Linked DNA regions of Saccharomyces cerevisiae S288C. The protein of the gene in region 2 purifies or fractionates together with the protein of the main gene of each other region. This does not show direct contact. Each region holds a gene or a part of one and is shown on either strand. Other genes may lie near its edges.

The links.
Region 1: the proteins of DPH6 (region 2) and MDE1 purify together in Saccharomyces cerevisiae (affinity purification with mass spectrometry, with the first as the bait; one large-scale study listed by BioGRID). This does not show direct contact.

The regions. Positions count from the first base shown.
Region 1 is NC_001142.9:469,699-473,042, forward strand, and holds MDE1 (methylthioribulose 1-phosphate dehydratase MDE1), read right to left. Parts: upstream 1,267-3,344; coding exon 532-1,266; downstream 1-531. Other genes in the region: U4/U6-U5 snRNP complex subunit LSM8, read left to right, coding at 86-415; BNA1 (3-hydroxyanthranilate 3,4-dioxygenase), read right to left, coding at 1,440-1,973; YJR026W (gag protein), read left to right, coding at 3,062-3,344. UniProt on the Saccharomyces cerevisiae protein: Catalyzes the dehydration of methylthioribulose-1-phosphate (MTRu-1-P) into 2,3-diketo-5-methylthiopentyl-1-phosphate (DK-MTP-1-P).
Region 2 is NC_001144.5:425,336-429,937, reverse strand, and holds DPH6 (diphthine--ammonia ligase), read right to left. Parts: upstream 2,610-4,602; coding exon 552-2,609; downstream 1-551. Other genes in the region: ACF2 (endo-1,3(4)-beta-glucanase), read left to right, coding at 1-261; PUT1 (proline dehydrogenase), read right to left, coding at 3,322-4,602. UniProt on the Saccharomyces cerevisiae protein: Amidase that catalyzes the last step of diphthamide biosynthesis using ammonium and ATP. Diphthamide biosynthesis consists in the conversion of an L-histidine residue in the translation elongation factor eEF-2 (EFT1 or EFT2) to diphthamide.

The DNA.
Region 1 (3,344 bases), on a different chromosome or scaffold from region 2:
AAAACTAATCTTACGTGGTTCTTATAAGATGGACCAGCAAGCTGCATACAGTACACCATACAAGAAGAACACACTATCGTGCACCATGTCAGCCACCTTGAAAGACTACTTAAATAAAAGAGTTGTTATAATCAAAGTTGACGGCGAATGCCTCATAGCAAGCCTAAACGGCTTCGACAAAAATACTAATCTATTCATAACCAATGTTTTCAACCGCATAAGCAAGGAATTCATCTGCAAGGCACAGTTACTTCGAGGCAGCGAGATTGCTCTTGTTGGCCTCATAGATGCAGAAAATGATGACAGTCTAGCTCCTATAGACGAAAAGAAGGTCCCAATGCTAAAGGACACCAAGAATAAAATCGAAAATGAGCATGTAATATGGGAAAAAGTGTACGAATCAAAGACAAAATAATATAGTTGCAATAATAGTAATAATAATAATAATAATAATAATAATAATAATAATAATAATAATAATACCATGTATAGAAGTATATAAATCATACAATAAATTTAAGCATTAACCCGTCACGGACTGGCCATCTTCAGATGCTTCTTCTCTTCGCCAATGCCACAGTCGGGAGGAATCCCCATTTGGTACATCTTTATGGCCAGCTCCATCAAATAATCGATGGCTTCGTTGAAAATTTTGGCCTTATCGATTGTCGGACCCCAAACAAAAATGCCATGTCTCCTCACAATTACGGCGCATGTGTCTGGATAATCTTTAAAAGTCTTGTGCAAGTCATCGATCAACTCGTCCTCATGCGCCATGTTTTCAATGATGGGAATCTTCAGCGTATCAAAAAACGATAGCGCCATGGGTTTCTTGGTCACAGGGTCCACCTTTCCGCTTGGAATTGCTTTGATTTGTTCGATGTTAGCAATCCTGAACTCATCGCCAAATAGCAAGGAGCATATCACAGCATTTTGGGAGTGTGTATGTATTATAGCACCTGCATTTTTCTTTTGGTAGCACGCTAAGAACAATGGAGTACATGCGCTTGGCTTGTAAAGCTTGGGAGAGCGCAAATACTCTAATGTCTGAGCGTCCATGACAAACAAATCCTCAGGTATCATCTTCTCCTTCTGCACCCCAGATGGGGCGAGATAATAATAATTCGTGTTAGGATCTTTTATTGAAATCCCACCTCCAGTTCCGGTGCACCAATTATTATGAAAAAACTGCTTGCATAGCGTGCAAATGAGATTTGCTGGATGGCACGGATCATCTGAATGTATCAGAACATCTTGTGAAGACATAGTCGTTCACTGGCTCCCCTTGTTAGTTCAGTGCTTAAAAACGTTACATATCTTGATGAACAGCTAGCTGCTTTGATCAAGAGAAAAAAAAAAAAAATTGGCACCGCATCTTAGTGCCGCAATCTTACGTAACAAGAGAGCTATAAAAGTACAACTAACAACTCTTCTAATACTTAATTAGATTGAGGGCGTGCGTAGTTTAACGTCTTGCAATGGAAACATGTCCTCTTTTCGACATCATTTTCAAAATCTAAAATGGCTTCTTTCACTTGGGTACCTAAGTCTAACATTTGCAGTTCACTCTCGTGGACCACTTGGCGACAATGAGAACAGTACCACCTTATCTTATCGTTTTCTCCCCCAGGCCTATCTTGTTCCACAACAATACCCACAGTATCAGCAAACCGAACAGGACTGTGAGGAACATTTCCTGGCAATAAATATGAATCGCCTTCATTGATGATGATATCAATGAACTTTGGTTCAGCGTCTGTCTCATCCACAACCTTTAAAAGCATAGATCCTTTTTTTTGATAGAACCATTCGGGAGTTGGATTGATGTGATAACCGGTTCTTTCATTAGGCCCACCGACAATCATCACAGTGAATCCCCCTTTATGTAAGCAATAATTATTCACCGGTGGTTTCAAAAGGCCTTCGTTCTCCTTCAACCATTTGTCGATATTAATTGGTGTAGTATTAAACATTTTTTTCGATTTTTTTGGTAAATGTATGCTATTTCAGTTACTTGTAGACTGTCGTGAAAAGAATAAAGAAAGAATCTTTTACGTCCGTTTTTTTACTTTGCCGAATATGTTTCAGTGACTCACAATTTATCCTGACGCCGTCACAAAGGCAGCCATTCCATTGCAATAACGACACTCTGAATATTCACGAACGTTCACCAGACATTTGGAGGCAGCGTTCTAAATGCCGATACCCGTTCAGGAGTACAGGTGTCAGTGACAGAAAAATAATGGCACCGTTGACGTCGAAAATACATCCGCGCAAATTTTGACAGGCTATTTTGGCAGCGCAATCAAAGAATAAACTTGGTATAGTAAGGAAGCCAGTTACTGTACGCATGAATTACGGTAGCTTTTTTTATTTTATTTATTTTTTTTTTTTTTGGACAAATAGAAAAATTTTTATTATTATGTAAGATTATTGAAGTAAAAATACAATTGGACGAATCTAGTTAGATTGCCAAGATGTGTTAAAAGGCAAGATTAACTTATGAACATGATCTACAACGTCCTGGTTTTTAAATTCGAGTAAATACGCCTCCTTTTTATCTGTGAATGACAGTCCTGTTCTCCCAAGTCTTTTTACATCATGGAGACGGGAGTTATACTCTCTCGGGTACAAGGTTCCTTCAGCATCAGAACAGATCACAAACTTTATCGCAACAACAATTCCTTTATATTCCTGGGAAAATATGTCGGTATAGCCTACTCGAGACGGCTTCCAAACATCAGCTTTCGTTTTAACATGTTGCTGTTGGAATAAAAATCCACTATCGTCTATCAACTAATAGTTATATTATCAATATATTATCATATACGGTGTTAAGATGATGACATAAGTTATGAGAAGCTGTCATCGAAGTTAGAGGAAGCTGAAACGCAAGGATTGATAATGTAATAGGATCAATGAATATAAACATATAAAACGGAATGAGGAATAATCGTAATATTAGTATGTAGAAATATAGATTCCATTTTGAGGATTCCTATATCCTCGAGGAGAACTTCTAGTATATTCTGTATACCTAATATTATAGCCTTTATCAACAATGGAATCCCAACAATTATCTCAACATTCACATATTTCTCATGGTAGCGCCTGTGCTTCGGTTACTTCTAAGGAAGTCCACACAAATCAAGATCCGTTAGACGTTTCAGCTTCCAAAACAGAAGAATGTGAGAAGGCTTCCACTAAGGCTAACTCTCAACAGACAACAACACCTGCTTCATCAGCTGTTCCAGAGAACCCCCATCATGCCTCTCCTCAACCTGCTTCAGTACCACCTCCACAGAATGGGCCGTACCCACAGCAGTGCATGATGACCCAAAACC
Region 2 (4,602 bases):
ATGATTCACGCCATTCCTATAACATCAGCATCTTCATGGGTCAGAACACCAAATTTTGTCAAAGAGGAGTGGGAAGAAAAAATGCAGCCGATAATTGATCAAGTGAATGACGGTTGGAAAGGAATAATCATGTTAAATATGGCTCTGCTTGATCCAAAATTTTCGTACGACTTTTTCAGCCAACCTGATTTCAACAGAAATTTCCTAGACAATGGGCAAAGCTTAACTTGGTCTTTAGCTTATTCAGGTGCTTTTTCTTAGGGGTCAGAAATATATACAGTGTTAGTAGCATGGTACAAGTGTTACGATAAGGTATTTTATAGAATGATCATTTTTTTATATGAATATTGGTTCCTAAACCATCATCAATAATCAAATTATTACAGAACACACCTTAATTGTGCGGCGTATTCTAAATTTTACGTGTTCACAATATGGTGTTGTTCCTATGATTTGCTAACATATTTGGGATCTGTCTATCATTTACACCGCCAGGAGCGTGGACAGCGTATATCTATTAAGTTTATAAAATATAAGGCCTACATTTGGAGTTAGGAACGAATATGCAACCCAAAGCGGTGTTCTTTACCACGGTAATCAAAAAGTTTCTCCACCGGATAGTATCCAATGTGATGGTGGAAAGTGATGATTTCTTTGGGATTATAATAGAGGGTAATCTGGGCTGATTTTGGGGTTTTTTCCAAGATAAGTTCTAACTCCTCTCTACTATCTACAAATCCCGTAATAAAGTTTCTATTATATCCAAACGCACTAACTGTAGTGTTATGAAAACCTTCAATATTCAAATTCAATTTCTGGAATACGGTTGAAACATCATCATTCTCTTCCCTTTCTTTCTTGTCGGAATCATTATCGTCCACTATTAATCTCTTACAAGTAACACCACCAAATTCTGCAACAGCGCCTCTAGGTAATTCAGAAATCTTTACAAGAACTAGGCATTTTTCAACATCATCAGATTTGTCCATCCATAGATCTGATCTATGATTCATATTTGAACAATAAAACGCCCATGTTTTGATGACAGAGTCGAGAACCGATTCGTCTGAAATATAGCATGTCATGAGTAACTTTTCTTGAGCTCCTATTGTTTCACACAAAGTATCAAAATGTTGTAATGCCAAAACTATTTGGTCAGTGAGAGGTGTTCCTAATATTTCCATTGACTGCGGTACTAGTCCGATTTGCCCACTGATAAAACTGACTTGGTTTGCATCATCGTTTAACCAAGTACTTTGGGAATATGGTCCGATATTACATGGAGCCCAATATGAACGGCCTTGAACATGTAGTCCGCCCTTATTCTTGTTGATTTTTTCTTTGCCTGTATTTTTTACATCAACAACAACTGATAACTGTACGTGACAATCTTCTGGCAAGCACTTCGAACCTACGCATGCTCTTGATGGTGGCAAAGGTCCGTATTTTGACAAATCTAAAAATTCATTGTATATTTTGTTGATTTTTCCGAAATTAGACATATCTCTAATTAATAATGACGCAGATAAAATATGATTCCGTGGAATCTGGTTGGAATGCAGAATGTCGGCTAGCTCAGTAAAAATATCTTCACTTTGCTTCTCGACCGTCTCACTTTTACGTGATTGTAGGTTAGAGATGTACAACTTATCATTGGTTTTATTGATTGTCGTTTGTGGTAGAGCATTCGACATGTGATTTTCAAATCTTTGTTCTCCTGTTTTAGCTTGTTGCTTTGGCAAATTTTGGGTTAAATCTTGCCAATTATTACCAAAAATCGAAGGTACAGGTAATTGATCTAATTGGTTGAGTAAAAAACTTTTGCTCAAATTACGCGGTTGAAATTTTACCTTTAACCTTGCATTGTGAACTTCACCATCGCTACATTTGACAATATCAATTAATTCCAAGTATCCATGTTGGAAAAAAGGGGCATCCAAGACCATTGTCTCAAACTCCCCACCCTCTCCACAGATATGAACTTGATAAAGTTGGTTAAGTTTCTGTAACACCGGTTGCATCATAGGCAAGGACATTCCTAAATGTTTCTCGTTCAATCCAATTGCTGCCACCTTGATTATCCTGGCGTCAAATTTATTTCCTGAATTAGTATCGTTTTCAACATTGTTAACATCCTTGGACATAAGGCACATTTCACCCATTAGTTCGGCTTGATCCCTTTGCCATAAATAGCTTAGCACTACTAGACCCAATCTGGAACAAACATTTTCCACTCTGGTCCTCTGGTAAGACGATAAGATGGCACCTACACTAACAGCTTCTAAATCTGGAATTTTATCTTTGACAGTTCTTAGAAGTTCAAATAGTTCTTCAATTTCATCATCCTGAGTAGCAGTATAATTCAACTCGACGTTGTTAGAAGTGTTCCGTAATATTGAGCGTCTAAATAGTGGAACACCAATACATTTAGAATAATAGTCTATTAAGTCATGTCCTACTGTTTGGAACATGAAAGAGTCTAATTCTTGCTCTTCTGATTCTTTTGGGTATATATTTCCCAGGGCAATCAATTCATGGTTGTTCTTCAGGCAGTGAAAAATATTGTAGAACGAGTCCTTCCCACCTGATATTAATGCTATAAACTTCATGATACTGACTTATTGGGCTTTGAATTTTGATATAGCTTTATCAAAGATTTCCGTTTGAACTAGCTATTCATCATCCATCAGATATAAGTGAAAAAAAGCTTCTTTAATAGAAGCTTAAAAAAATTCTCCGCGACGGGGAATTGAACCCCGATCTGGCACGCGACAAGCGCCCATTCTGACCATTAAACTATCACGGATAAGAAACACTGGAAAACTATGTATCCCAAAATCCCATACGTTGGTTTACTAACACTACTAGATGTATTATTCATAGGTACCCCAAAATCCTTACAAAGAGACAAGGCTGAGTGTATCAAGCAAAACCGCTTTAAATCTGATGTTCTGCGCTTTCTCCCTTTGATTAGATTCAGGTCTTATGTAGTTTATAGAAGATGAGTACCTTTCTTGTGCATAAGAGTTGATAATAAGCCTGACGACGACAAGCCACTTTCCTACCGATTTAGGATTGGCAAAACATCTGGTACTATTCGAACCCATAATCAATAGGAAGAAAGCTTTACCAACAGATTGTTATTTAAGTGGTTCAAGTATATTAACTCTTGATATCCGTGCGTTTACTTTACTATTAGTGTTATTATCATTACTTATATATAATATGTATAACTAGAACATCAGAATTATGTATGCATACTTTTTTTTTTTTTTGGTTTTTTGGTTTGTCTTTGAAATTGGAGTATATATTATAGTCCTCTCATAGGCCTACTCTTTTTGGAATCGACTTTGCTATGGCCTTGATTAATGGCCAGCCATTATCAGATCTCACAGCATCCCCGTTTTCTTGCAATCTTCTCAAAAGATAATCTTTAGTTTCCAATGGTGGGCCCCATGGGACATACTTGATTATGTTTTTAGCGCCATGGTTGGTAATTAGGTCATAGGTAACATTATCTGCCATACCTAGTAATTGCCCCAACACAATGTTCGATTTGGCATAAGAGTTGTCTTGGGTAGATTTTAGCAAATTAGTAACGAGCATTTGGGATTGGTAATTATGAGAGGCGACAACCAAGTGACCAAAATAAGAATCCTCGCCATTGATGATTAAATCATTGACAACTTGAGTGATGATACGATCGTAATTTTCGTCAGTGCCCGTTTTATCGCCAAAGATAATTTGGTTACGGTTTTTTTCAGAATGAATATAAGCACCACGAACCAGTTTCAGCCCAAGCTTATAGCCGTTTTCTTGGGCCAGCTTCAATTCGTGCAAAATATGGTCACCAGAGTCCCTTAGGTACAACTGCCAAGTACCGACACATGATATCAGTTTAGATGAAGTGGGATTGAATTTTTGAAATAAGATTCTCTGTAATTCGTAAACACCATTCTCCTGCAAATCATACTTCTCAGCGTCAATAGTGGAAACCATAAATGGGGCCTTTCTTTCAGGGTACTTCTTTAACAAAGATTGATTTAGTTCAAAAATCTCTTTTGTAATCTTAGAGCAGTTCTCGATCAGCTGATCCCTTTGAGCCTTGTAGGCGGGATTACTGAAATTGTACAGAACCTCGTGAGGGTTATCGACCAAAGCAGAGGGTTTTAGAGCGATATAACCTGGAGCAATGTCATTGATTGGCTTAGATTCCAGCTGGCCAATAATATTGGGCAGTAGGATGTTGTGGACAGAGCTGATTGTTTCCTTGACAATTTGGTCTACTGGAGTACTGGACAAACTCTTTGTACCTTCGGAATTTTCAATAGTTAATGAAAGCATCATGTTCGATATACCTCTCTTCTGCAGACGTTTGCCGCATTCGATGACCTCTTTAAAGTTCTCACCGCCACAGTATAAAGAAGAGACGAAGAATTTTATTACTGGGATGGGGATGTAAGGGAACAACTTAATGATCGTGTTCAGGAAGAAGCTGTTCAAGGTCGCAATACCGATGAATCCCAGTTGGAATAGTTCCTTCTTGGGAAGTGTCTGTAGAAAATTGATTGAGTTAGGAGGTGCCATCACACTATTGCCGTT